2 linked regions of the Coturnix japonica genome follow. The protein of the gene in region 2 interacts with the protein of the main gene of each other region in a biochemical or structural test. Links are inferred from orthologs where the notes say so. Each region holds a gene or a part of one and is shown on either strand. Other genes may lie near its edges.

What was found.
Region 1: the proteins of TNFRSF13B (region 2) and TNFSF13B form a complex in vitro, tested with the Homo sapiens proteins (3 studies listed by BioGRID and IntAct, with this or other methods). The link is inferred for Coturnix japonica from reciprocal best matches to the Homo sapiens genes TNFRSF13B and TNFSF13B.

Annotation. Positions count from the first base shown.
Region 1 is NC_029516.1:126,180,506-126,193,229, forward strand, and holds the start of TNFSF13B (tumor necrosis factor ligand superfamily member 13B), read right to left. Parts: upstream 5,910-12,724; 5' UTR 5,559-5,909; coding exon 5,232-5,558; intron 5,153-5,231; coding exon 5,047-5,152; intron 1,862-5,046; exon of another isoform or gene 735-1,861; intron 1-734. UniProt on the Homo sapiens protein: Cytokine that binds to TNFRSF13B/TACI and TNFRSF17/BCMA. TNFSF13/APRIL binds to the same 2 receptors. Together, they form a 2 ligands -2 receptors pathway involved in the stimulation of B- and T-cell function and the regulation of humoral immunity.
Region 2 is NC_029529.1:4,678,893-4,690,618, forward strand, and holds TNFRSF13B (tumor necrosis factor receptor superfamily member 13B), read right to left. Parts: upstream 11,313-11,726; 5' UTR 9,439-11,312; intron 8,434-9,438; 5' UTR 8,380-8,433; coding exon 8,241-8,379; intron 7,836-8,240; coding exon 7,719-7,835; intron 7,624-7,718; coding exon 7,375-7,623; intron 6,790-7,374; coding exon 6,515-6,789; 3' UTR 5,846-6,514; downstream 1-5,845. Other genes in the region: USP22 (ubiquitin carboxyl-terminal hydrolase 22), read left to right, coding at 606-755, 2,131-2,173. UniProt on the Homo sapiens protein: Receptor for TNFSF13/APRIL and TNFSF13B/TALL1/BAFF/BLYS that binds both ligands with similar high affinity. Mediates calcineurin-dependent activation of NF-AT, as well as activation of NF-kappa-B and AP-1.

The sequences.
Region 1 (12,724 bases), on a different chromosome or scaffold from region 2:
ATAAAGTAAATTTAGCTGTCAGGAAGAAATATGGGTATGGAAATGTCATTTGTGATAATAAAGAAAACAGAAACCAGCACAGTGATCATTTTATCTATAGCCACAGAAAGGAAGTGTAATTTCCTTGAAACTATATTGAACAGCAACATGCTTTGTAAACAATCGCTTATAAGCCACTACTAACATATAACTATTTCCAATCACAGATACAAATACTTCACTTTGAACTCAGTGGTTACATGTGCTTAAAGTTAAATGATTCATTGAAACAAATTCAAAGCAAACCCATTTACCACTTATTAAACAGAAAACATGGATATACCAAGTTTATTTTCTGGTGAAAGCAAATAGGAATTTTGAGTCAAAATACTGATGTTGTTAAGAAATGTTAAAATGTGAAAGACACAGATCTTACCTGAAGTACAATATAAAAAATACATATTTCACCAAATATGACTTGAATATTTACTATCACTTCAGAGCTGAGTAAATGAAAAGCTTGACCTCAAAGTCCTTCAGTTCAGTGTAGATCAAACCTGAACACAAGTTTTGTAGTCTAAAGTATTTGGGGACACTGAATAATGTAAGCAGAAACATAATTAGTAAAATGCTTCTTAAAAATGCATAAAGATATCTAAAATGAGCATCACTTGGAGGACTCACTGTACAAAACAACATGTACCTAGAATAGCAGGAGGTCGGCGTGCCCTGACCTCTTTTGATTTCAGACAGAAGTTTTGCTTTGATGAGAATTCTTTTCTTGTGATGTAAACTGTACTGCGGTGTGTGGGTGGGAGTAAAACATTTCAGAATCTTCTTCCATGAACAAAACGACCAATTCTGAAGAAGTTAATGCCTCCAGATGCCCTTATGAACCACACCTAGCATATGAAGGGCTGTGTTCTCCACCATCTGAGCAATGTAACCACAGCTCTGGAAAAAACAAAAATGAACTAGCATATGTAGAAGGATAAAAAACTGAGCTTTCTGCATATCTACATAATTTAAGACATGATTATCCATAAGGACAAATCCTTCCTGCCATGTAAGTTTTTGAATCATTTAACTTCCATAACCTTTTTAATACCTTGCAATCTAACTTCATAATCCATCCAAAGAAAATGGCAAGTTGGTTAATATGCAAACTTGCACATAAATTTTTAAGCTTCAGTATCTGAGGCCTGATAATTCAAATAAATAAATAAATAATCTGAACTTTAAAAATAGACCTGCTTGCTTTGGTTCCTTCAATGGTCATGGTCTGTTCTCTGTAGACTTCCTGAAACCTGCTTGAATACTAGATAATTTAATTTATAAATGATATGCATGTTCTTGGATGATGTGCAGCTTTTCTTCCCTTAAGTTATTTATTTCTTATAATTAGATATCTTCCTTTTCTTTTTGCTTGTGCAGGTTTATAGACTAGTTTCTTTGTTACTTTTTTATTAATAAGTCTTTTTGTGTCATTAAACATGGATTCAGTTAATCCCTGCATAAAAATTGCTTGGCCCCAGTAACAGGTCTAACAAAGGTCTTTGAAGTATTGGTATCATTATTTTGATCTTCAGTGGAATCACCAGTAATGTGTTAGTATCAGTGTAGTACGGAATAATTTACTAACATTTAAGAACAGTTTATGTAGATTTCTGAAATGCAGTACAAAGTATTCTGTGTGCTTTAGATTGCACAGTAGTCTGCATAATACATAGCACTGATTCATTCATTCAGGAGATGGAATCCTTCAAGTAAAACTGCAAGCAGTGAGTGAAGTCATTTTCTATCCTTTCACAGTGAAGGGCGTACTTCTGTTAGAGACGGCCTGTTGTCAGCAGAAACTAAAGGGAATAACATCTTTCAAGAAGTAAGCTTTTAAAAATATGCATATTAAAAAATGAAAAGAGAACCCTTGTGTTTCCCTCTTCAAACAGCAAAATAAGAAGTAATTTGAGTATTTGGTGAGGGAATTTCACGCAGTGTTTGTTTGTTTTTGTTTTTTTTTTGAAACTAGCAAAAAAATGTTTGCTTTTCTGACTGAAAGATCTCTGAAATCAAGTTCCACTTGTAAAAGTTCATGCCATCCCTCTGTCATGGAGACCTGTCATGTCACTGGAGGCCTTCAAGGCCAGGTCAGATGGAGCCCTGGGCAGACTGGTGGGAGATGTCCCTGCCAAAGGAGGGGGGTTGGAATTGGGTGGGCTTTCAGGTCTTTTCCAACCTAAATCATTCTGTGATTCCATGATTCTATAAAACAACAACACAGAGTCAAACTGGTTCTAAGTAGAAAATGTACCACTCTGTGGATGGAAATATACCAGTTTGACATAAGGCAATTGTACCAAGAACAGTGGCAAAGATGATGCCTTCTCACAACTTATACTCTATAGTCGTTTTGTGTGAATGCAACTGACATGGCAGAAGAACTTGAGAACTGCTAGTGAAAAATTACCGAGTCACAATGCGGGCTTGTCCTGTTTCATTACTTTGTGGACTTTGGATTTCTCTTCAGTTCCTTCCGTATACACAGTCATACAGTTTGAAATGGATAACCTCAATATCCTGAAGGAAGCAACCACAGGTGCCCTGATCTGATCAAATTAGGATTTTAAGTTTTCAGAAGACCTGGTGCTTACTGTCCTAGCTGACCACAGGAATCAGAACACGCAGTAATGATCAGAGCTAGACACCTAGAGGGTGTGCAAATTAAACTCTGTACTCTGAACTGCCTTGTGTAATGAGACCTCTATCTTGATCCTGGACAGAAGAACTTAAACTTCTCAGAGAGCAGCATGCTGGCAATACAATCAGTAATTGTGACAAGGATAACAGGATGGATTTCTGTTTCAGCTTTCCTCTACAGGCAAAATTTAGTAAAAGACAGGCAAAAAAGTATCTCTGTTCCTAACTGTCCTGATATGACATCTGCTAGAAGTGGTTAGGTGATCTATCTGTCTGCACATTAATAAAACTCCCCAGTACCTCCCACTCGTTGTATCAAAAACTCTTGTTCTGGCTGCTAATTATGTAGCTTTATTTGGAACTAATGCTCAAAACCCATTTCTTCAACATATTTGTGCTGGAAATTTTCTCAGAACACAAAATGTACAGATACTGATAGCTATAACTTTTATATATGAACACCGGCTAACATCTATCCTATAAAAATATGAAAGAACAGCACTGCACTGGACCTACTTTTGTTCAATTGTCATTTTAATTAAAATTATTACTTATGGCCACTGCTATGTAAGTGGAAGATTTGTAATATAATTCTTTTCCTTTTGTTTGTATACAAAGTAAGATAAGTGGATAATTGTGTTAGGAAACAGTTTTGTAGATCAGCCTATACAGGTTTTCCCTTTCAAATAAACATTCATATTCTGTGCTGTTATCCGTATACACTAATTTGAAAGCATAATTAGAAGTTCAGGTGAAGAAAGATATATGGATATATTCAGAGGTGGCTGCCTGGGGAGAAGCATTTTAAGCCTGCCAGGAGGACAGCTGAAGAGCCCAATACTGTCCTCTCCCCCGTGCGCTCTCAAATACAGTAAAAATAAAGATGAAAGCTACTGTGAAGGGAACTGAATAAGTTGCAGAGTGCTGATGTCTGTAATGTTCATTTAGAAGAAGATAGTCATCCTTATGTTTGGTGGGAGTTGTGATTTAGGTATAAAAGATCACTTGTTTTTATCTGGGAGACATTAGAATGGGGGGGAGAACAGAGGGAAGCTCTGCTACTACTACAATAAACAAGCTTCAGGTGAAATGACTGAAGTAGTCTTGTCTTCAGTCTCATTTGTGAAATCACTGTTAACCAAGACCCTGAACGAATGATTTCTAACAGAAAAGAATAAATTGCACTTAAGCCTATGGATTGCACTTAAGCCCATTGGGTCACATCCTAAATGAATATTCTCTTCTGAGATGTAAATAGAGTGATCGTGCTATAGAACTTAAATTTCAGTTAGCTCTCTGAATCCTAGCTGAAATGCATTTCACATTAATTAATCAAAGATACATTTTAAGCAAACTCTGATTTAGTCTTTAGCTACAAATCATTTCATTTTACCTTAATGGTAATTCAAGATATCAGCTTCCATCGGTCAAAAAAGTATCTAAGGAGACTGAACTGATTTATCAACTCAGGAAGATTTTTACCAATGCTCAGTGTAATCAGAGTATGCAAACTGTTATGTTTAAATTCAGTATCTCATTTTATCATATATCAGTGTATTTGGAAAGGCAAAAAAACACACCACAAACAAAAAAAGTAGGAATTGTATTCCTGAAGAAGATAATCGTATCCCATTAAACATATCAACATTATAACACACGTCAGAGGTGCTCTATCGAGCACACTATTCGATATTTGATACAGTACCTTTTAAACTTGCCACAGCAATAGCCTTTTTGCATAGGCATGCCTTTCTTAGCTTTGCTAATTATATTAATAGATGGTTTTATGCAAAGAAAATTCTAATCTTCTGAATTCTTTGTAGCCTGCCTTTTCAGACAGGTATAAGCTAGCCTTTCTCTTTGAAAGCTCCTACTTCCCTAAAGTCAAGGAGCTCTGTTGCTACTTCTCTCTTTTAGGATGAATATGTTTTCCCAGAAAAATGACTTGACAATTTTTAATAATAGCTTTCCTTTTTTAATATTCACCAGAGAGAAACAAGATAAGCATTACCCTGAGCTGAGAATGATGGATTTAGAGTCAAGCAACTTCCAACATGAAAAAACTCAAGTTGCCATACACAACTCTACTGCTGATCACTGAGAAATACTTTAGTCACAAGGACAGGGAACCAATGTTCAATTCAACCTGCAGACAGCAGGAATATCTGGTACCTTAAGCAGTATGGTAATCAGCAAAGCAAATGCAGTTCACAGCATCATTTAATACTTACTACTTATAATTCTATAATTATAATAAGCTTTGGGAGCAGTACTCAGCTTACAAGAAGAGACAGGAGCTAAGCATTGTTGCTTGTCTCCAGAAAGCAACCAGCAGCAGCATCCCATCCCACTCCGCACAGTGCTATTTACCTGTTTCTTCTGTGTGGACAACAGACCTTCTCCCCCTATTTCTGCTCCCGTCCCAGATTTCCTTTTGGAAACTTTCAGCTGGGTAAGGGCCAGGCAGCCTGTTCTCCTAGCAGGGACAGACAGCAGTCAGTGTGAGCAGCCCATCTCCTGCAGGTTCATCCCCTGCAGCCATCAAGCACGCTTACCTGCCTGGCGCCAGCTGCAGACACTTGCAGGAAGGAAGAAACAGGGGCACCTGCTTTCTTGTCGCCAGGGGACACGGGTGGCTGCTCTAGCGGAGACCTTGCCCGGACCCTGTAGATCAGCTCACTGCGCAGAGCTTCTAGCTCTGTTTTCAGGGTGATAGCGTGGTAAAGAGACACTGCTGCAAGACAAGAGGACAGGAGCATTGCAAGCCACAGGAATGTGACAGAAAAAAGTCCCGTGGTGCCTGAAGCAGCACCGGGGGGGCCAGAGGGAGAGGAGGCGGTATCCTTCTGCTGGATGACGTGCACACAGTCCACGGATTTCATCGCTGCTCTTTCCTCACTAAAGCCAGAGGGAGAGTTCAGCTGTCCCCTTCCGAGGTGCAATCCATGTTACCCGTTGCTCTGTGAAACTAAGGGCATCCAGAATAAGTGAACAAAACGCCCAGATCATTTCCTGTCATATGAAGCCGTTGATACAACCATTAAACCTAATGTACAGAGTGAACATCTGATGCAGTCTCCGTTTAGCTTTGTCCTTTCTGCGCTGCATTCTGGCAATGAGTACTTTCTGTTGAGCTGCTTGTTCAGTCTGCCTTTCTCCTTTCATTTTCAGCTATTTATTTTTGTGGCAACTTGCTTTCACCATTTCCCATTATCTTTAAATTTAGGCATGACCAGTACCATGGGTATTTAAAACCTTATCTAGAAGTGCAGAAACAACATAAGGTTTCCTTGCAACATAAATCTGAGCTCTGCTTAAAAGAGACAAGCATATGACATTATGTGTGCCTGTAAGAATATGTATACATGTATGTAATATGATATATATATATATGTAAACATATCTGAAGTGACTGTACGCCTGCAGAAGTGGCAGCTTATTGAAATACCAATTTTTGTGTTTTCCTAAATACGATGGTGAGAAATATTCTCACGTATGAATAAAAAATGACTGGTCTCTCAAACTTGTGAAGTGGCAGAGTCTGCAGTTCGGTTCCTAGTGCACTTGGAAGGGATGACTTATAATCAAACTTATCAGATAAATGAGACCCCACTGGAGAATTCAAGGACCTAAAGAGCGAGGGAGAAGAGACCTAAAAGGGAAGGGAAAATGAGAAAACTAGAAAGTAGGAAGGAATAAGAGAGGGGAAAGAAGAATCAGGTCTAAAATGAACAGGTCACCCCCCACTGAAAACTACCATTTTTGGCCACATAAGTAAACTTTAACTGCATGAGAGAGAGTTTCTAAAGGTCTGTTCAAATACTGTGCAAGTGAGTTACATCTTCTGATGCTACCTGTTAGAACAGTCCAGATCAAGCTGATACTGTTGGGAAGGAGAAAGAAGGAGCAGAAATAAAGCAAAAAAAAAAAAAATTGTGTAGTCTCTCCTACATCTGTTTCTTAAGACTGTGGGAAACTGGTGTCATTAAAAGCTTTATCAACTCCCATTGCAATCCAAGTTACTCTTTTCCTTGCTTTGCCACCTCTAACAGTTATTCAATATCCTGCATGGACAAGTCATTATTTTCCTAAAAGGAGAGGAAAAAAGAAATGCATACAACATATCTTAACATGCCTCTAAAAGGTGCCTACATACCTTGAAAAGTGATACAGAAATAGGTATACAGTGGACTGAGAGCAGAATACCATAATACACCCTGTCTGTATCTGTTTTCAAGGCTGAGGTATAAATGGGACTACATTTTGAAGGAAATTTAATAGGTATTAAGGTAGGTTTTGGGCACATAATATGTGGTTAATAGAACTGAACAGATGTGCCTTGAGGTATCACTGGACATCAGAATGTTACCATTCTATTACTGTGTTCCAAATATAATATGACAGCCAGAAAAAGCACACTATATAAGAAAATGAAACAAAGTGAGAAGATGAAAGTCACAACTTGTTGTCCAGGAATACTGGGGAAAAAGTGGCTAGTGAGGTCTCTTTGGTCATTAACATACAAGAAAATATCTGATAGATATAATTAGCATCAGTCTCGTTACTTGTACAGAAAATAAGGCTGTTTCCAACTCCCACATCTTTAAAGGGGTTCACTATTTGGGCTGACAAGAGAATTGCAGTGACAAAGAGGTCTTCTGTAAGACGTCTGGCTCTGGCTTGCTCATTGTTCTGGCAGATGAGAGCTTCAAAGGGGAGAGGAAGAAAATCAGAACAAGCCACACTTGGCAAATTCTTAATTCAACAGGTGTTTCTATTCAAGTGTCAAAGGGGTCAGTCTGGTTTTGACAGCGGGCTGTTCCACAGTTTCACAAGCTTTTAAGTGATTAAAAGGAAAATACAATTGTTGATGAATTTTGCAGTGCCAGAAACGTAGAAGAACAATAAATAATGACAGCGAGAGATCAGTCATGGGGGAAAAAGAAGTACAAACTACCTATATATTTACGTAGTTGTACAACTTAACATCTTATCGCAGTAAAGCAAAGCTTCAGTATTTTAGACCTTGAAAGACATCAAAACAACATCTCAGAAAGCTGGGTTTAGAAAACAAACAAGCATGCTGGCTTCAGGGCCTAGCACATGGATTTCAGGGGCAGGTGGTGCCTTGGTTCTGTTAAGCTTACTGGCTTTGCTTTAAGGCAAGTATGAGGCACAGTTTCTTTAGCTCCTTAAGTCACGGTAATACTAAAGCGGGGTGCTCAGGTTAGGACTTCCCACTACGAGATGTGAGAGCTCAAGTTAAACTAAGGAGGGGAAAAAAACAGCATTAAAAAACCCCAAAACATTACCACTGAAGGGGATCTTCTTGCTGGGGGATCTTTGCTGGGTGGGATCTTTAACAAAATGAAGACTGGTTAGACTTCTGAGATATTACAGCTGAAACAAGCTCTGTAATTTCTGCAAGCAGCTTGATTCGTTCTTTTCCGTTACACGGGATATCTGATTAAAAGGTCAAGATGGGCCCTGCTAACCTGAAAATGTGTAAAACATCATCTCTACATCTGTGGGGAACCAAAGCAGAGATAGCGAGCAATCACACAGGAAATTTGTGGTTGAACCAGAAACTGAACCCTTGATTTCCTGAAATCCAGCACTGTACTTTAACCACAAAAAGCATCTTCTGCTTTGAGGGGGAGGAAAATCTGATAATGAAGTTTAATGTTAAAAAGAGAAGCAGATGGTTTGAATAAGAAGACCTGGATTGAAGAAAAAAGAAAAAAAGAAAAGAAAAAACGTCATTGAAGAAATGTAATTTACTTAAAAACAAATGCTCTGTTTTTAAGAGGGAGGTTGTACAGATACAACATAGAGACCCAGCCAATATCAACAATCATATTAAGAGTACATTTCCAGTGGCGAAGGTCCAATATACTTCTGAAATAGACACAAAATGGAACTGGTCCCTGTGGCTAGCGCAAAAAGAGACCAGCTGCGGTACTTGCCATATTACGGAAGACAGCACTGAGCATACAGAGCACAGAATAAGCAAAGCTTATGCGTTTCAAGTCCTTTCTAATGATGGAGAAAAAGGTCAAACTATTGTGGAGAAGGTTAGAATTAATCCTGTAGGATGGCTACAGTTATCTGCATTAAGATCATCCATAGAGAGCAGTCTGAAACAGAACACGTTCTTTTCAAGGACACTTACTAAGTTCCTTCAGCTATTAGCCAGGATTTACATGTGGCTGAGTATTTACACTCTATTAAAGTTTAGAAAACTACTGAATACATTACAAGTAGAGGATGTGGTATGCAAACATTTTAAATCTTATCTATTAACTGGTTACAAGAAAAAAAAAAAAAAACCACAACCATGAGATAACTTACTGAAATAAGAATATTCTTTTGTCTTTGCCTCCTAGGACAATACAAGTATCTCCATACATTTCAAATGTGCCGTACTTGATTTATGCCTCATCTAAGACTATTTTTCTACACATCCATACAATTTTGATCCAAATCTGGCACATACACTACAGAAAGCAAATATACAACTGATTTGCAACCATCGTTACTGTTTACATGGTTATTACAGTGATTTCAAAGAGGGTAGGAAATGTCACAGGAAAGAAAAGCAATTCTTATAGGTGTCTCTCAAAGTATGCAACAGAACAAATAATACAATCAAATCAAATATATAATTTCAAAAGCAAAACCAACCAACCACACACAATTACATACTACAGCAACTTAACTCCTCCTCACCCACTCCCCCCCTGACGCTATAGTAATTCTTTCTTACTGCACGGAGCAAAAGGAGCTCTGTTGTACAGCTGTAGCTCACTTGTCTCGTAGCCTCACTGGTTTGGGTAACCAGCAGCACAGGAATCTATCTCCACCTCTTTGACACTATGCAACTTGACAGATTTTACACAGATGGGATAAAAAAAAATGCATCTGTATGGCAGCAAAGTAAACAAAGAACCATGGCCCTTCACATGGGAATGGCTGCTCTTCTGCTGATGGAGTCTGTGGACCTTTAATAGAGGACATGGGATGGGAATCCAAATATTTTCAAATTGTAGTGATATTTCTCCATAGCTGCATCTATTTGCTACACTGTTCCTGAATCCTCAAGGACTGAAAGGGACATTATTCAACCTGACCTTTTACTTTGCCTTCTTGTAAATAATTACCCCACACCAGACGTAAGCATAATGCAGAACAGCTGTAGAACTTCCTTTCTTTCCATCTTCATGCAGCAAAATCTGCTTCATAGCTGCTTGTCAAAGCTAGCAGCAACATCTCTCTGGAACTTGGGCTACGAATGCAGTTACTGTGCCTTTGCAGCACAGCATTATTCAGCTCATCACTTAAGATGGATATATTTGACACTATTATGAGTGAAACCAAGCTCTGTAATGCATTAAAAACAAGACCGCTCTTACTCTGTGTAATTTTCAGAGAAAGGAAAACTGCCATTCTTCAAGACAGAGAAGAGTTATTCTGTCCCCACTCAAGTGGAACCATAACAAATGAATCACACTAATGTTTTCAGCACACTTCCAGAAAATATTCAGTTTATTTTTTTATCTACTTACAGAAAGAGAACTCTATAAAGTCTAAAACTAAGACCCTGAAAAGGACCCAACACGGGACTTAATGCTCAGGCACTTTCATGACCTTAGGAGCCAATGGTTCAGTATTTAGATTTAAAATTGACATTTAAAATATTAACAGAAATTAGTGGTAAAATCAGCCAGAAACACAATGAAAAAATAATTTCCGGGTGACATGTTCAGACCAACTCTCAGTTCTAAAGATAAAAAGAGAAGTCCTAAGAGGCAGGAGGTGATAGAAAGCCATGGAGGGATACCACCAGTTTTTCTTACTGATGCTTTGTGAAAGCAAGAATGTGACAAAGATTAGAAACAGAGAGTTAATTTAGCTTACCCCCCCCCCCCACCCCCCCCCAAGCTGTAATAACTTGCCATAAATACCATCCCCAACAACATAGATGACAATTTCATGTGCTCTGGTTTGTTTTGTTGGTAACTGAAAATGATACCCTGACCAGGCATACAAAATTACCCTGTACTCATACTGAAGACAGGTCACAAACCAGAACAAAATGTCAACAGCACTTTTAATGTATCAATTTATTGCATATGTCAGTACATAAAAATAGAAAAGTGGTTTTTGTAAAATTAATTTTATTGTAAAAACCAGACTAGAATGAGAATGTAAAACTCTGCCACAATTAGCACATATACAATAACATTTATGCTTCGTCTACAAAACTTAAGACTTTAATAAGACATTTTTCCATTAACTATACACTAAAGAAAAATCAAATAGAGAGCTTGAATCATTTATTCAATAACTATTCCTGAATTCAAAACATGAGTGTCATTTAGAGCTTGAATATGCTTTCTCTATCTACACTTCTGCAGGATTCTACTCTAAATTATACAAGCGGGATGGCATCGTAAATTATTCTCAGTGGGACACACCAGGCTGGTCCCACCAGTGCAGGAGGCACTGCTTTTGTATTTGGCAGATGTACCCTTAGGAAAACCATTTGTTGTTAACAAAATAAAAATACACTTCTCAAGAATTAAATTATGGAATACAAATGGAGGTATGTCTGCATCTTTTTGCTAATAGGAGACCATACCTTGGTATTCAGTCTTGTATACTTTACTAAGAACATTCAAGGTGACACAAATGATTAGCTAAGAGATGCTGATGTGCATATTCTGTATAAATAGCTAAGCCATTTGCCCTTCATCAGAGAGATTGTCCATAGCCTACTAGATGCATTTGTGCTATATTTCTAATTTTACCTGAGAAATGGACATGAGGGCAGTTTTATCAGTTTACCTTTTTCCCATCTCAAACCACAGCTTATCTCTGCATTTCACAGTTCAGAAGCAAATACCAGGAATGTAAACTTGGGTCAGCAAGAAGCCTCAAGTATTTCCACTAGTTAATACAACACACACAAGGTCTTGTAACAGGCGATTCCTTACAAGGACTCTACAGCTACAGGTGTTCAGCTCCATCACTCCACCATTCCTCCTCCATCCCTGGACTTTTTATTTCTTTTTTTTCCTTTTTTTGAAATTTTATTTTATTTTTATTTTTTAAACAAAGTTCCTCTTATAAAAGGGACATTTCCTTTTATGAACATATTCAACGTGAAAGGCTTTCTTACAAATCTGTGAAAATAAATCAACCTCCTCAAACTAGAAACATATATATACACATACAACAACCACTTGGGAAACATCTATACACAAATGGAGAACTGGTGTGGGAAAACACATAATGGCGTTAAGTGCAATAAACGCAATAGCATCATAAGAATTTTTGGCAATTTGAAGTTATTACTATGATTCTTGCAACGTACTGTCTGAAAATGGCATTCAGCAGCAGACCACCATGAGTCGCCATCATACAGACCACAAAAGAAAGCAAGTCCTGTCCTGTCAAGCTACATGTTTCTTCCCTCTTTTCCCTCAGATTCTATTCACAGCATTTGAATATTTGCATAACTACTTTTCCTGTTTCTTTCAGTGGTTTTCATAGCCAACGTGATGAAAAACAGCATGATAATAGGCATTCGTCTACACGTGGATGCGTCCAAAGTATTAAGCCCATTTTTTGCTTCTTCCTCATGTGGAAGGTGGAAGAAAATACATTAAATATGCATATACGATGACTGCATCTTCTCATACTTGGTATTTGTATAACCAGGTATCTTTATGTTCTGCAGACACTGTGGTGAAAAGATATGGCTTGATAATAAAAAGCAAGGTTTAAATACAGCGCACTATGAACAGCTCCTGATTACCGTAATCCAAGGCCACACATTTGACGTTGACTCAACTGTGGGCCCAAATGCGAATACTTCATCTGTATGGAAATGCCACATAATCCAGAAGGCTGGAAGGGAACTGTAGGTGTTTTGGGTTGATGTTTTTGTCTGCCTATTCGATCTGTGCAAAGTGGAGTAAAATCTTCAGTCATTTAGGAAATTCACATCTAATGAAAAATAGCGTTTAATGACAAGCTATGACAT
Region 2 (11,726 bases):
TTAAAGGCAGCCTGATCAGTGTGTCAGTATCTTTCTTTCAGACAGAGTTGTCTGCTGCTTTTCAGGCTAGCAAACAAATGCACAGAAATATCTAGAAGGTGGAAGTAGAGGCTGAATGCGATATAGTATCTAGTGCTTCAAAATACGTACAGACTTTCCAAATTAAGGATAATGAATCAGTATAGCAGTTTATCACTGGATATGCTGCAGACTACCTCCTCTCTTTCCCCTGGAGTGTTTTTTCTGGCTCTCTTGAGTTAACTAGTTCAGAAGAGGAAAGTAGAAGGTAACTAAGATAGCGATCCTCTGCGGGGATGCATCAACTTCCATGTATTTTAGAAGAAAAATCTTCAGTAGCTTATATTGGTGAAGCTGATGGCTGTCATCAGGAGGGAATACTGCAGTAGGAGCAGGGAGAAACACGTTCCCTTTCCCTGGGCAGGGTTGGCCTCTTCCCAGTTAACATTAAGAGCTGGTGTTTTATTGATGGATCCTATCCTTTACTGTTTCAGTTTGTATTTATGAACATGAGCTTTTGCCTCTTTAAAATGTCAGTTATTTTTGCCCTTTTGATCCGCGTATTGATTGACTCTTCTCTGTTCCAGGTATTCCTTGTTTGCAGTAGTTAATCACCAGGGAACCTTGGAGAGTGGGCACTATACCAGCTTCATCCGGCAGCACAAGGACCAGTGGTTCAAGTGTGATGATGCCATTATCACCAAGGCTAGCATTAAGGATGTACTAGACAGTGAAGGGTAAGTGAACTGTGTGCAGTGTGAGGTGCCGCAGCGTAAGAAGAACATAAAACTATCAGAGAGCCCAAAGGAATTGGTCTCGATCCTTATGGGTCCCTTCCAACTCGGGATATTCTGTGATTTGATGATCAGAGGGAATCACTGGGGACTGGGGTGTATCTCAAAAATAAGGTTAACTTAGAAAGTGAAGTCTTTATTTTGGCATTTTCAACCATGGGTTTGCTACAGGAAAGATGAGCCTCTTTAGGTTTTGTTTTAATTATTCATGACGTTTATGTTAATTCCTGCAGGCACAGATGTTCAGCTTGCAATTTTTTAGGCAGATTTTCCTATTTTCCTTTTCTGAACTTCAGCTGGGAAGAAAAAAAAAAAAAAAGGCTCCAGTGATATCCGAATTTTGCTTTGGTCAAATTATTTAATGCTGACTTACACTTTGAGGTCAGCAGAAGAAAGTTTGTCTTTATTGAATAACGAGGGGCTAGTTTTGTGCTGGGATGGGCTATGACTCTGGAGAGAGCTGCCATAAGCAGTGAGAACAGGATCTACAACACAACCACTGCACATCTGGCTCATTGTGAGCTGGTTTGGTCTCTGATCCGTTTTCCTTGGTCTAGATGAGCGCTGATACTGAGTAGGCCTGCACTGTGCAAGGGAAGCTTCATGGGACTGGACACAGAACAGTATTAATTGGAAAGTCCACAAATTGCTTTGAAGCATTTCAACTGAGTTTTGTGGTGAGCCCATCAGTGTCTGTTGTACAAAATGAGCACAGAGATCAGTGTGCTGCCTGCTAGCATGCCTGCCCGAGGGCTGGATTCTGTTCTGTAGCAGTACATGTACAGTAATTAAGGACAGGAAGAATTCTGTCCTGCTAAAACACCAGATTTGAGTACAGATTGAGACATACGTGAGTCATGTTTGGTTGGGACACGTGAGTTTTCACCCACATGCCTGGCTCTTTCTGTTTGTCAGATAAACGGCAGACGGTTTGTGGTATTCTAATGTCTGATGCTCTGGTTATGGGATTCTAAAGGAACAATTGTATCATGAAGCATCTCGGTTATATGTTGTGCTGTGATGTGTTAGATGGGTGAGCATCAACACTGTCCCATCTTCCAGAGCTTCTAGGTTCTAAGTAGGTGCACAGCACGAGGGTCTGACTGATGGACAAATGTTCCCTTTCCTGAGTCCCTGGTGGGATTGTCTCAGCTGCCTTCCCTCCTCCTCCTGTGGGGAGTTGGCATATCCCTGGAATTGCTTCGATTTGAAAAGAATAACATGAATAGCTCTCATTTTTAACAGTTGCATCCATGGAAATGGTGATCTGCTATGATTTGTAGCTCAAAGCTGAAACTGTACCTCTGCTTTCTTGCAGATATTTGCTGTTCTATCACAAACAGTTCCTGGAGTATGAATAGCCTTATCCAGCAGCTTGTCAGATATAAACAAGGAAGAAAATAAGCAAGCCTTCTGAATCGACACACAAACCTACCTGAAATAAAAAGACCCATTAAAAAACAACTAGCACTGAGCTGTAACAGGACCTACTTGACACTGGCTCCAAGCCTGGCAGAGTGAGAAATGAACAATGTCCAACGTGTATGCGGTCCCGCAAGGACAGAAAGGGGAAAAAAGGAGGCTGCAGTCAGTCACTTATCAGAGGAAATACACAATGAAAGGAATGCTCTGGGTGGGGGAAATGGGAGCAGAGGAGTCCGGGCACTGGTACATCTCCTATGTTCCTCCAAAACGTGTGTGGGAAGGCAAGGGGGTGTATTCTCATCTCCATAAAGCATCTTCTCCATTGGTGCTTCAGCTCCAACGACCAATCATATAACAGTTAAAATTTAAAAAAAAAAAAAAAAAATTAAAAAAAAATAAAATAAAATCCAAGCCCATTTTTTTATGCATCTGGATCTGAAAGCAGTAGAGTGGAGGAGGAGGGAATGACACAACTAAAGGACTTGGCGAGTATCTTTTTATTTGTGAATTTTAGTTATTAAATAAATACAGTATGAAACTATTAGGCTCTTTTATTGCCCCCCCCCTTCCACCAACAAAAGAAATCCTGACTTGTGGAACTGAAGCTGCAGTACAGACAGGTTTCCAGGCACGCCTGCGTGCACAGGTAACGCTCAATGCCACCGGGCTGCTCACCCAGAGCATCAGCACAGATCCGGTCCTGGTTGAGCCCTTTTTGTTTTCTTTTCTTTTCTATAAATAGCTATTTTCTTAATATTTTTTTTCCTTTTATTCCCTTTTTTTTTTTTGTTGTTGTTGTTGTTGTTGTTTTTTCATGAGAATGAACTTCATAACTGCAACCATCAGTAAAAATGACTGAATTGCCGTGTTGATACTGTTCTTTTTAATGTTGTGGATGCTTGAATTTCACCAGATCTCTTGTTTTTGTTGCTGGGTTTGATTGATACATTTTTGGTTCTGTTGGGTTTGGTTTTTTTCCCCCTCCCCGTTGCTTTCCAAAGGCGTTTATCTGTGTGATGCTTGAAAGAACCTCCCTATTGACAAATGTACCATCTGTTGGAAGCGGTTGCTGCTGGGGGGCAGCAGTGAGCGATGGATGTGCTGCTATTGAGCACTTCTGCAGTGCACTGACTGGGTTTTTAAGTAAACAACACGTTTTGCTGGTATTTGCTAGGCTGGTATTGGTTCCTTGTGCCCTCCCACATGTGTTAACTCCTCGCGTGCTCTTCTCTTTGCAGTCTGTGCCCTTGGCTCACAGCAGCTGGTGCACCAGCTTTTGCTTTGTCACAAATACGGTTTTGTTCCCTTTTCTCTCCCCGTTCAGCGGGGCTCGTTTGCCTTCCTGGATAGCAGCAGTGACTGCTGCTGTGCTCTGTCTTGCTCCCTGGAGGCCGGGCTGCGGTTTGAATTGCAGCCCGTGAGAGAAGCCATTCTGAACAGAGTTTAAAGGAGCAAAACCAGCATTGCTCTCTTTTCCTTACAGAGCCCAGACAGAACTGTTCTGAGGGTTATGTGCTGCTTATGTTGGTGTAAGTGCCCCACCAAAACAGCCCTGAGCCCTGTGCGTGTATCCAAGCAGCCCATGCTTGACTGAAGCGCAGTGGTTATAAACGTTGGATGTGTTTCATCTTTTAGATCTGGCGCTCCAGAAATGGCTGTGGGTGCCTGACCTGCATGTGAGGGCTGCAAGGGGCGGGCTGCAGAGCAGCACTGGAGGATATCGGATGAGAATCAGTGAAGCCCACTTTGTTTTATCAATGAGCATCTGGCAGAGAAGCTACACAACAGGATGGTGGAACTGCATCCGAACTGCGCACAGACAGCACGAGCTGCTTCGGTTCTGCTGCGGCAGCTTGCAGGAGGGAAGGGAGAAGCAGCCGCTGATTGAAGCTCCGTGAATAGCAGCACAGCATCAGCGTGGGAGGCACCGCGGCACTGATCGCTACGGCAGCGATGGCGTGTGCTGGTTTCGTAACCCGGCTCTCTCCGATCGTCATGCTCGAAATAACGTCGGGTTGTAATCGGGTGCTGCAAGATGTAACCAGTGAAAAATGGCTGGAGAAATGCAGATTGAATGGTGCAACACCCTCCTTCCCTCCTTCCCTCCCTCCCTGAGCTGGGCACAGCGCCGTGCAGATGCTCGGTGACGCTTTCTGCCGCCTTTTAATAATGCAGCGATCTTGCAGAGGGAGCCGAGGAGCAGCCCTTCATTATTCCCATGGCTGCAGCCGCATCCCCGCCTGCTCCCGCTGCCGGAGGAGCAGTGCCACCGCGCGGCTGTGCATCACCGCTGCTCAGTCTGTTGTGCTGGGGCTCAAGGGGCATCTCTCCTTTCCCCTTTAGAACCAGACTGCGCAGGGAGGGACAAGGCCAGCTATTGAAATCAGCCTGGTTTCCATCGCCCCCACTCCCCTCTCCCCCCACCTCTCAGCTGCTGAAAGCCCTGCACCAGCACAGGTGGCTTTCAGTGGGAGATGTGGAGTGAGAGAGGTTTCAGGGCTCTGTTTTGGTTTCAGAATAGCAGCTCTGTGTTAAATGCTCTTCCCTCTCCCCCAGTCCCTCCTTGCATTGTGCCCTCCTGCTTCCAGCAGTAAATCAGCACAGGTTGCTGGGGAAGCAGTGTTCAAAATGGAAGAACAGCCGCTGCTGTACAAGCAGCACAACCCATCCTTATGGCTCTCCTGAACAGCCTTTGCCTCAAATACTGGGATGCTTTCTCATTGCTCAGCTACTAGAGGGGCAGCTCTTCGTGCTGGTGGTACCTAATGAAACCCAGAGCAAAAGCAGCGATGTGAGGAGCTCCTTCAACCCCCACGTTATGCTCTGGCTCAGAGTCTGTGCCTGCAATTCCCACTTGGTGCCAGTGTTTGACTGCTGGCCCCACTTCACAGTGCCCATGGAGGGATGCTGCCAATGTGATGGCGATCCATTGATTTCTCCCAGTTCTCCAGCATCCAACTGCTCTGTGTAGGAACCTCTGTATGTTCTTACTGTGGATTTGACCAAGTTTCTCCCTGTTACCTTTGCTGATAACTCTATTTATATTTCCAGGTGGGGAGGCCACGTCTGATGGTGAGGAATGTTCCCCTCCAGCTTATCAGGGCTGGAAGGAAGGACCTGGCTGTGGGTGTGTGCGTTGCCTGTTTTCTGGGGCACAGATGGCTCAGTTTGAGCAGAAAAGGCTGAAGGACTGGGAGGGGGAGGTGGTAACCAGGGAAGAATTGAGGATGGTTAAGAGTAGAGGCAGAGCTGAGGCTGAGCGAGAGCAGAGGCTGCAGGGCTTGCTGGGAGGCTGAGGTGGGTTTGGGGCTGTAAATGCAGCACCACACAGAGCTCATCCCACCCTCAAAGAGGAGACTGAGAAGCACCGTGTTGGTTCCCAGAGATGGCCTCAAAGCTTTGCCCTGCTCACCAGCCATGAGATAAAGCACGGGATGTCACTGCACCTCCAGCCTCCTGCTGCTCCTTACAGCTCTGAGGGGCTCCCCATGGCCCTGGTGCTGTGTGTGTGCAGTGCTCAGCCCGGTGCTGCCTGCCTTGGTGGTGGGACAGCAGGAAAGCAATGCATGGCAGGGTGGGGAAGGACTGCATCTGAAGGACTGCATCTGCTCGTGGTTCCTCCAGCAGTTTATTTTCCTATCCCCAATTCACACATCTGATGACACTCCCATGTATTATTTCAAGTCTTGAGCTCTGGTCTGAGAAACAAACTCAAGGCCTTGAATCTCCTCTTGGGAGTGATTCCACGCCAAGCAGAAGCCCTGCACTCTCCATTAGTGAGAACTTAAAGTTCCACGCACTGAACCCCCAGTTTTTCCATAGCAGCTTTCAAGCATCATCATTCCCGGCTCTGTCAGCAGCACAGCAGAACTCAAAGTGTTTCAGAGGCTTCTCAGCCCGGGATGGTTTTGCACAGCAGAGCCCCATTGCAGCAGTGATGCCGGTGCCCAGCACAGTTCCCCTGCTCCTGTGTGTGAAGCTGCATCAGTTCCCTCTGCAGAGGCCAAGCGATGCTGATGGAGGAGCTGTGATGAGGAGCCCCTGTGGGATGTCAGCCCCAACCAGCAGCGCACACGGAGGTGCCTGCAGAGGTTGAGCAGGAGGATGGAGCCGCTGCTAACGGAGAGTTTGGGTGAGTGGAAAAGAACAGTCTGTGCCTGCAGCCCTCGAGCAGAGGCTGTGCTCAGCCCATCCATCCTGGGTGCTGGAGGCAGAGGGTGATCAGCTGTGCTTGGGGAGCAGCCCTCCTTTGCAGCCCGGTGCAGGAGCTCCCGCAGTCACACCGTGGGCGTCTTCTCTTGTGAAGGGGAGCAGATGATTTTGAAGTGGCCATCGTTGTTACTGGGGATCGCCCCCGCGCTGCCCATGCTGCATATCCCAGCGTGAGGGGCAGCAGCTCGTTCCCCTGCGTGGCAGGATGGGCTGTGGCACGGTTTGCTCTCCTGCACAGCGGAGCCGTGGCCGGGGAAGCAGAAGCCGCAGGTTTCCACCGGCTCTGGGGCTTTGCTGCCCGTGGATCCTTCACCGACACTGCCAGCTTCCACCAGGTGATCTGCAGAGACGAGAAACACAGCGCAGGGCTGCACCACAGCCTGCAAGGAGGCAGTGCTGGAATGCACTGTGTAATTACATGCGCTGCTGCTGTGCTTGAAACGCATCACCCACATGTGTCCTGCTGCCCCAAGGGCAGAGGGGTAAATGGGAAGGAGCCTCGAGCAGGGGAGCTGCAGGTGTAGGACTAAAGCAGCTGTAACACTGATAACGTTACACGTGGGTTGTTTTTGCCCTAAGTGCTCCTGTTGCGCCATGTGCTGATGCAGCAGTGCTGTACAACACACAGGGGCTGCTGGCTCGGGGGCCACACAGCGCTGCATGGACTGGCAAAGGGCTCTGCTCTGTTCATCTGAGCTCTGACAATCAAGGTTGAGCGCAGGGTATTGAAAAGCAGGCGGTAAATCCCTTTTCACCTCTCGGCTGCCCTTAAAAGCAAAGGCTGAATGCCACAACATCCTCGAGGTCCTGCTCCTTCCCAGGCCGTGTGACCCATTGCTGGGTCTGTTCCCTCCCTAGGAAGGCTCTGCTTTCAGGTGACAGCCACCCCCCGCTGCCCATCCCTCCCATTGCCCCCTTCACTCACCCTTGGCAGGGTCCTCCCGGCAGTGGCAGGTCCCGGTGCTGGCCTGGCAGGAGCCCACCTCCCCCTTCCTCCGCAAGTGTGTCCAGCCCAGCACCAGGGAGCAGACGAGGGCGCAGAGGCAGAGCCCCAGCAGCAGGTACACCACCAGCCACGGCTCCTGCTCCACACAAACCTTCTGCTCCAGTGCAGCCGCGGGAGGTGATGCTGAAACCAGGGCGGCTGGTGGGGAGTGACTGGAGAGCAGAGATCCTGCAGGGCAGGCAGAGAGCAGAGGGCAGACGGGCACAGAGCGGAGGGCATCAACATAAACTCACACCTCTCCCACCCCTCATCCCCCATCTTACCTCCACACGCGGCATCGCATTGCTTGGGGTGCTGCCCACACACTGTGCTGCAGTTGATGCACTTCTTCACCAGCTCGTCATAGTAGAAGCCAGCTCTCCTGTTACAGACCGCAGACTCTGCAGGAAGGGAAGGAGAGGAGCAGAGCTCGCTCTGAGCACATCCATGGCCCACTGGGGAGGGATGGGGTCACACATGTGGGTCTGTAGGCAGAGTTTGGGGGCGTTGTGCCTCCAGCTCTGGAGTTGGCTGTTGGTCACCCTGCTGGCCACGAAGACACTCAGCTCTTTGCAGGGCCCTTCCCAGCAGCTCAGCCCCAACCTGTACCAATGTGTGCAGTTATCCCTCCCCAGCTTACAGGGCTCCACACTCGCCCTTGTTGAACCTCATGGGGTTCCACTCTTCCCAGCTCTCCAACACATGATGACACGAACAACTCCGTGCTGCACTGCACCCAGCTGCTGCCACAGCCCCACTGCTGTGTTTCCCTGCGCTTTGGGGTTGCATTTTGGTGCCCCACTCACCGCACAGCGCCTTGCACCTCCGCTCGGCCGAGCTCCTGCACATGAGGGTGCAGGGGATGCAGAGGCAGAGGAGGCTGTCCCAGTACTGCTGGTTGGTGCAGTTGTTCATGGCGGCTCTTCCCAGGCACGTCCCATCCATGGCTTTGGGAGGGGAGGGAACCGTGTGTGGGGTTGGTGCGCCCAACGCTGGGACCTGTGCAGGGGGACACGCGCAGCGCCATCAGTACCAGCAGCTGGATCTGTTTGTAAGTCTAGAACCTTCTGAATTCCTCTGCGGCCCCCGGGGCTGCTCCTACCGCCCTGTGTCATTTCTGACATCTCACTTTGGTGTGTCAGCATCATATCGAAACCCGCTTCTGATGTGTCTCATTTTCCTAAGCAGCAGAAGGAGCTGCGTCCCTCGGGGCAGCTCTCAGCAGCACATGGGGGGCCCCGAGAGTGGGAGCTCTTCTGCTGTTCCCTGCTCTGTGGCTGAGCTCAGGGCTGGGGTGAGCAAAGGGGTGTGATGCTGATGGGGGGCTTTGGTGGGAGCCCTGAGCAGCCCCGGACAGCTGATATTTAAAGGATGCTGTCGCTGTAAGGGTTTCATTCTTAGCAGCCGTTTGCTGATGTGGGTGCCCGCATCCCAGTGCGGAGCCGCAGCTGTTTCCTGTGGGTCGGCTGCCCAGGATATGGGGAGCTGAAATGTTTGAGGCACTGACACGTGGCGCTGAAATCCGTGCAGTACCTCGGCTGGGGCTGCTGCCTTCATGGAGACACGGTTTGACTTCAGTACAGAAATGGCCCCATGCTCCGGGAGAGGTCTGTGTCTCTGCAGTGCGATACAGCCCCTGTAGTCCCAGTTGTTCCATTCACATTGCTATGAACCTAATTGCTTTCTATGGAGCCGGCTGACAGCAATGCCTGCAGCACAGCCTGGCTCAGGCCTGCTCTCTCCTCTAATGCACTTTAAGGACTTTTTACCCCCCAGGAGCTGGATGGAGGTGAGCTGAGCGCTGTCCTGCAAAGCCAGGCCATGCATCCCCTGCACCCACCCAAAGCCCAGCACCCAGCCTCCATCCACAGCATCACGTACCCACTCCAGCAGCACCAACCATCCCCACAGCCCCACGGTGCTCTCCGCTCCCTTCCAGCCCCTGCAGATGCAGCCCCCAGCCCCGCAGCCCCGTACCCCGAGCAGCCCCACACAGTAACTCACACTCAGCTCTCCTGCAGTGCTTATTGTCTCCTGGCTGCTGCCATCGTGCTGCCAGCTCCAGCCCCGTGTGCTACTCTGCAGGTTTATAATTAGAGGTCGATTTGATTAATGCCTGGGCCATGTGTTTCCTGGGGCTTCCCCTTATCCCTTCGATGCAAATTGGCCACTCACACAGCGCAGTGTATTGGCTCCTTGATCTGCAGGGGGCTCAGGGATGGGAGGGAGGCACCGTCACCAGGCACACGATGGAGATGTCTTGGTGCTCGCAGCAGGGAGAGGTCCCATGGGCCGTGCAGCTCTGTGTCCCTGGCATCGCCCATCTCCATGGGAGCTCTTCCATCCAAGGGAATGGCACAGAGATGTGTCAGGGGAGGGCTGGGTGGGGGATAAAGGGGGGAGCTCTGTGCCAGAGGTTGGTGGGCATAGAGCAGCTCCCATGGCAGTGGGCTCAGCCCCACACTGCTGGAGCTCAGGAGGCATCAGGGCACTGCCCTCAGACGTCAGGTCTGGGTTTGAGTGGTGCTGCGTGGAGGAGGGGTTGAACTCCACAATCCATATGGGTCCCCTCTGACTCGGGATGTTCTGTGATTCTAAAGTTCTTCTGCTGAGCAAAACGAGCACCCTGAGCTGGTCCAGCTGGCACCGTGTTGTTGCTTTCCCAGGTTTTGCAGAGGAAAGGAGCAGCGATGGGAGCAGGAAGGATGGCACAGCGGGGAGGAGCGATGCCCACACCCGGGGGTATCCCCACACTCCATTAGGTCTCTTTAGAGTAAGCAAACCAGGCTGGACAGCCGCTCTTTCCCCCTCTTTCTATTGGTGGAGTGTTGATTTGTGTCAGTCTCTCCCAGCACTGCAGCACACAGCGGTGACTCAGCTCAGCCCGGGGGATGGTTCCGCAGAAGCAGCTGGAGGGGGAGGAAGGAGCAATACCTGCTACTTTCCATAAACATCAGTGGGGCAGCAACAAGGGTTTTCCGTTCAGCACAGAAACTCCTGCCCTGTGTGAGTGGGGCCGTGAGCTGGTGGGGCTGGTGTTGGTGGGATGGAGCTCATTGCTCATGGCAGAGAACGTACAGGGGATGGCTCTGCTGGGAGCATCTCATGTCAGGACGGGCTCAGCCCATGAGCTCGGTGCTCCACGGGCTGCCCGCCTGCAGGGCTGGTGGTAGAGGAAAAAGCAATGTTGGCATTGTGAGTGTGACGGAGCCAACATGGAGCTGCAGCTCTGCAGCTCTTGGGAATTTGTGGGGGAAACCTGCCTCTGCAAATAGCAGTGGGACTCTTGCAGTTTCCACTCTGTGAGCCCTCAAGAGGGAAGTGAGAAGCACTTGGGGGTGCTTTGTCCCTCCTCAGTGAGCAGAGGGAGGCCCTGTGAGCTCAGCTTCAAAATCCTCAGCTCATGCTATGACTGGGACCTTGTTCCCTGCTCGGGTACCTCTGAGCAGCGCTGTGGCCTCTGAGGTGGCACATGGTGCTGCCAAACAGCGGTACCCAGAGCTGGGCTTTCCTGGGCAGTTTTGCTGCTTCCTGCATTCCCTGTGCTCACTCAGGGCTGGACCTTGACCGAGGCATTTCTTGCACACGTGCACCCCGTGAGATCCAAAAAAAGGCTGGGGGGGGGGAGAAGGGGGAGACAAGAAGGCGAAGAGGAGACGATTGGGATCGAAACCGAGCAGAGCGCACAGATGGTGCCGAGCTCTTTTCTTTCAGCCCGGTTCCCTGCAGACACGATGCTGCGGGACCACAACAGCCCACAGCCGAGCTCCTTCTGCCGAGCTCCTGCAGCTCCGCACCGCCACCCGCAGCCCGGAGCCCTGGGGGGGACGTGAGGGAGCGGCAGCGCGGAGTGATGCGCTGCACCGGGAGGTGGCAGCCGCGATTCGCTTAGTTCCGCTCTGCGGCTCCCGCAGCCCCGCAGCCCATACCCATACCCATACCCATACCCATACCCATACCCATACCATACCCATACCCGTACCCGTACCCGTACCCGTACCCATACCCATACCCGTACCATACCCATACCCATACCCGTACCCGTACCCGTACCCATAGCCATAGCCATAGCCATAGCCATAGCCATAGCCATACCCATACACATACCCGTACCCGTACCCATACACATACCCATACCCATACCCATACCATTACCATACCATACCATACCCATACATACCCAACTACCCATACCCATTACCTACCCCATACCCCCCCCCATTAAAAAAGACCCCCCCCCATACCCATACCATACCCATACCCATACCCATACCATACCGATACCCATACCC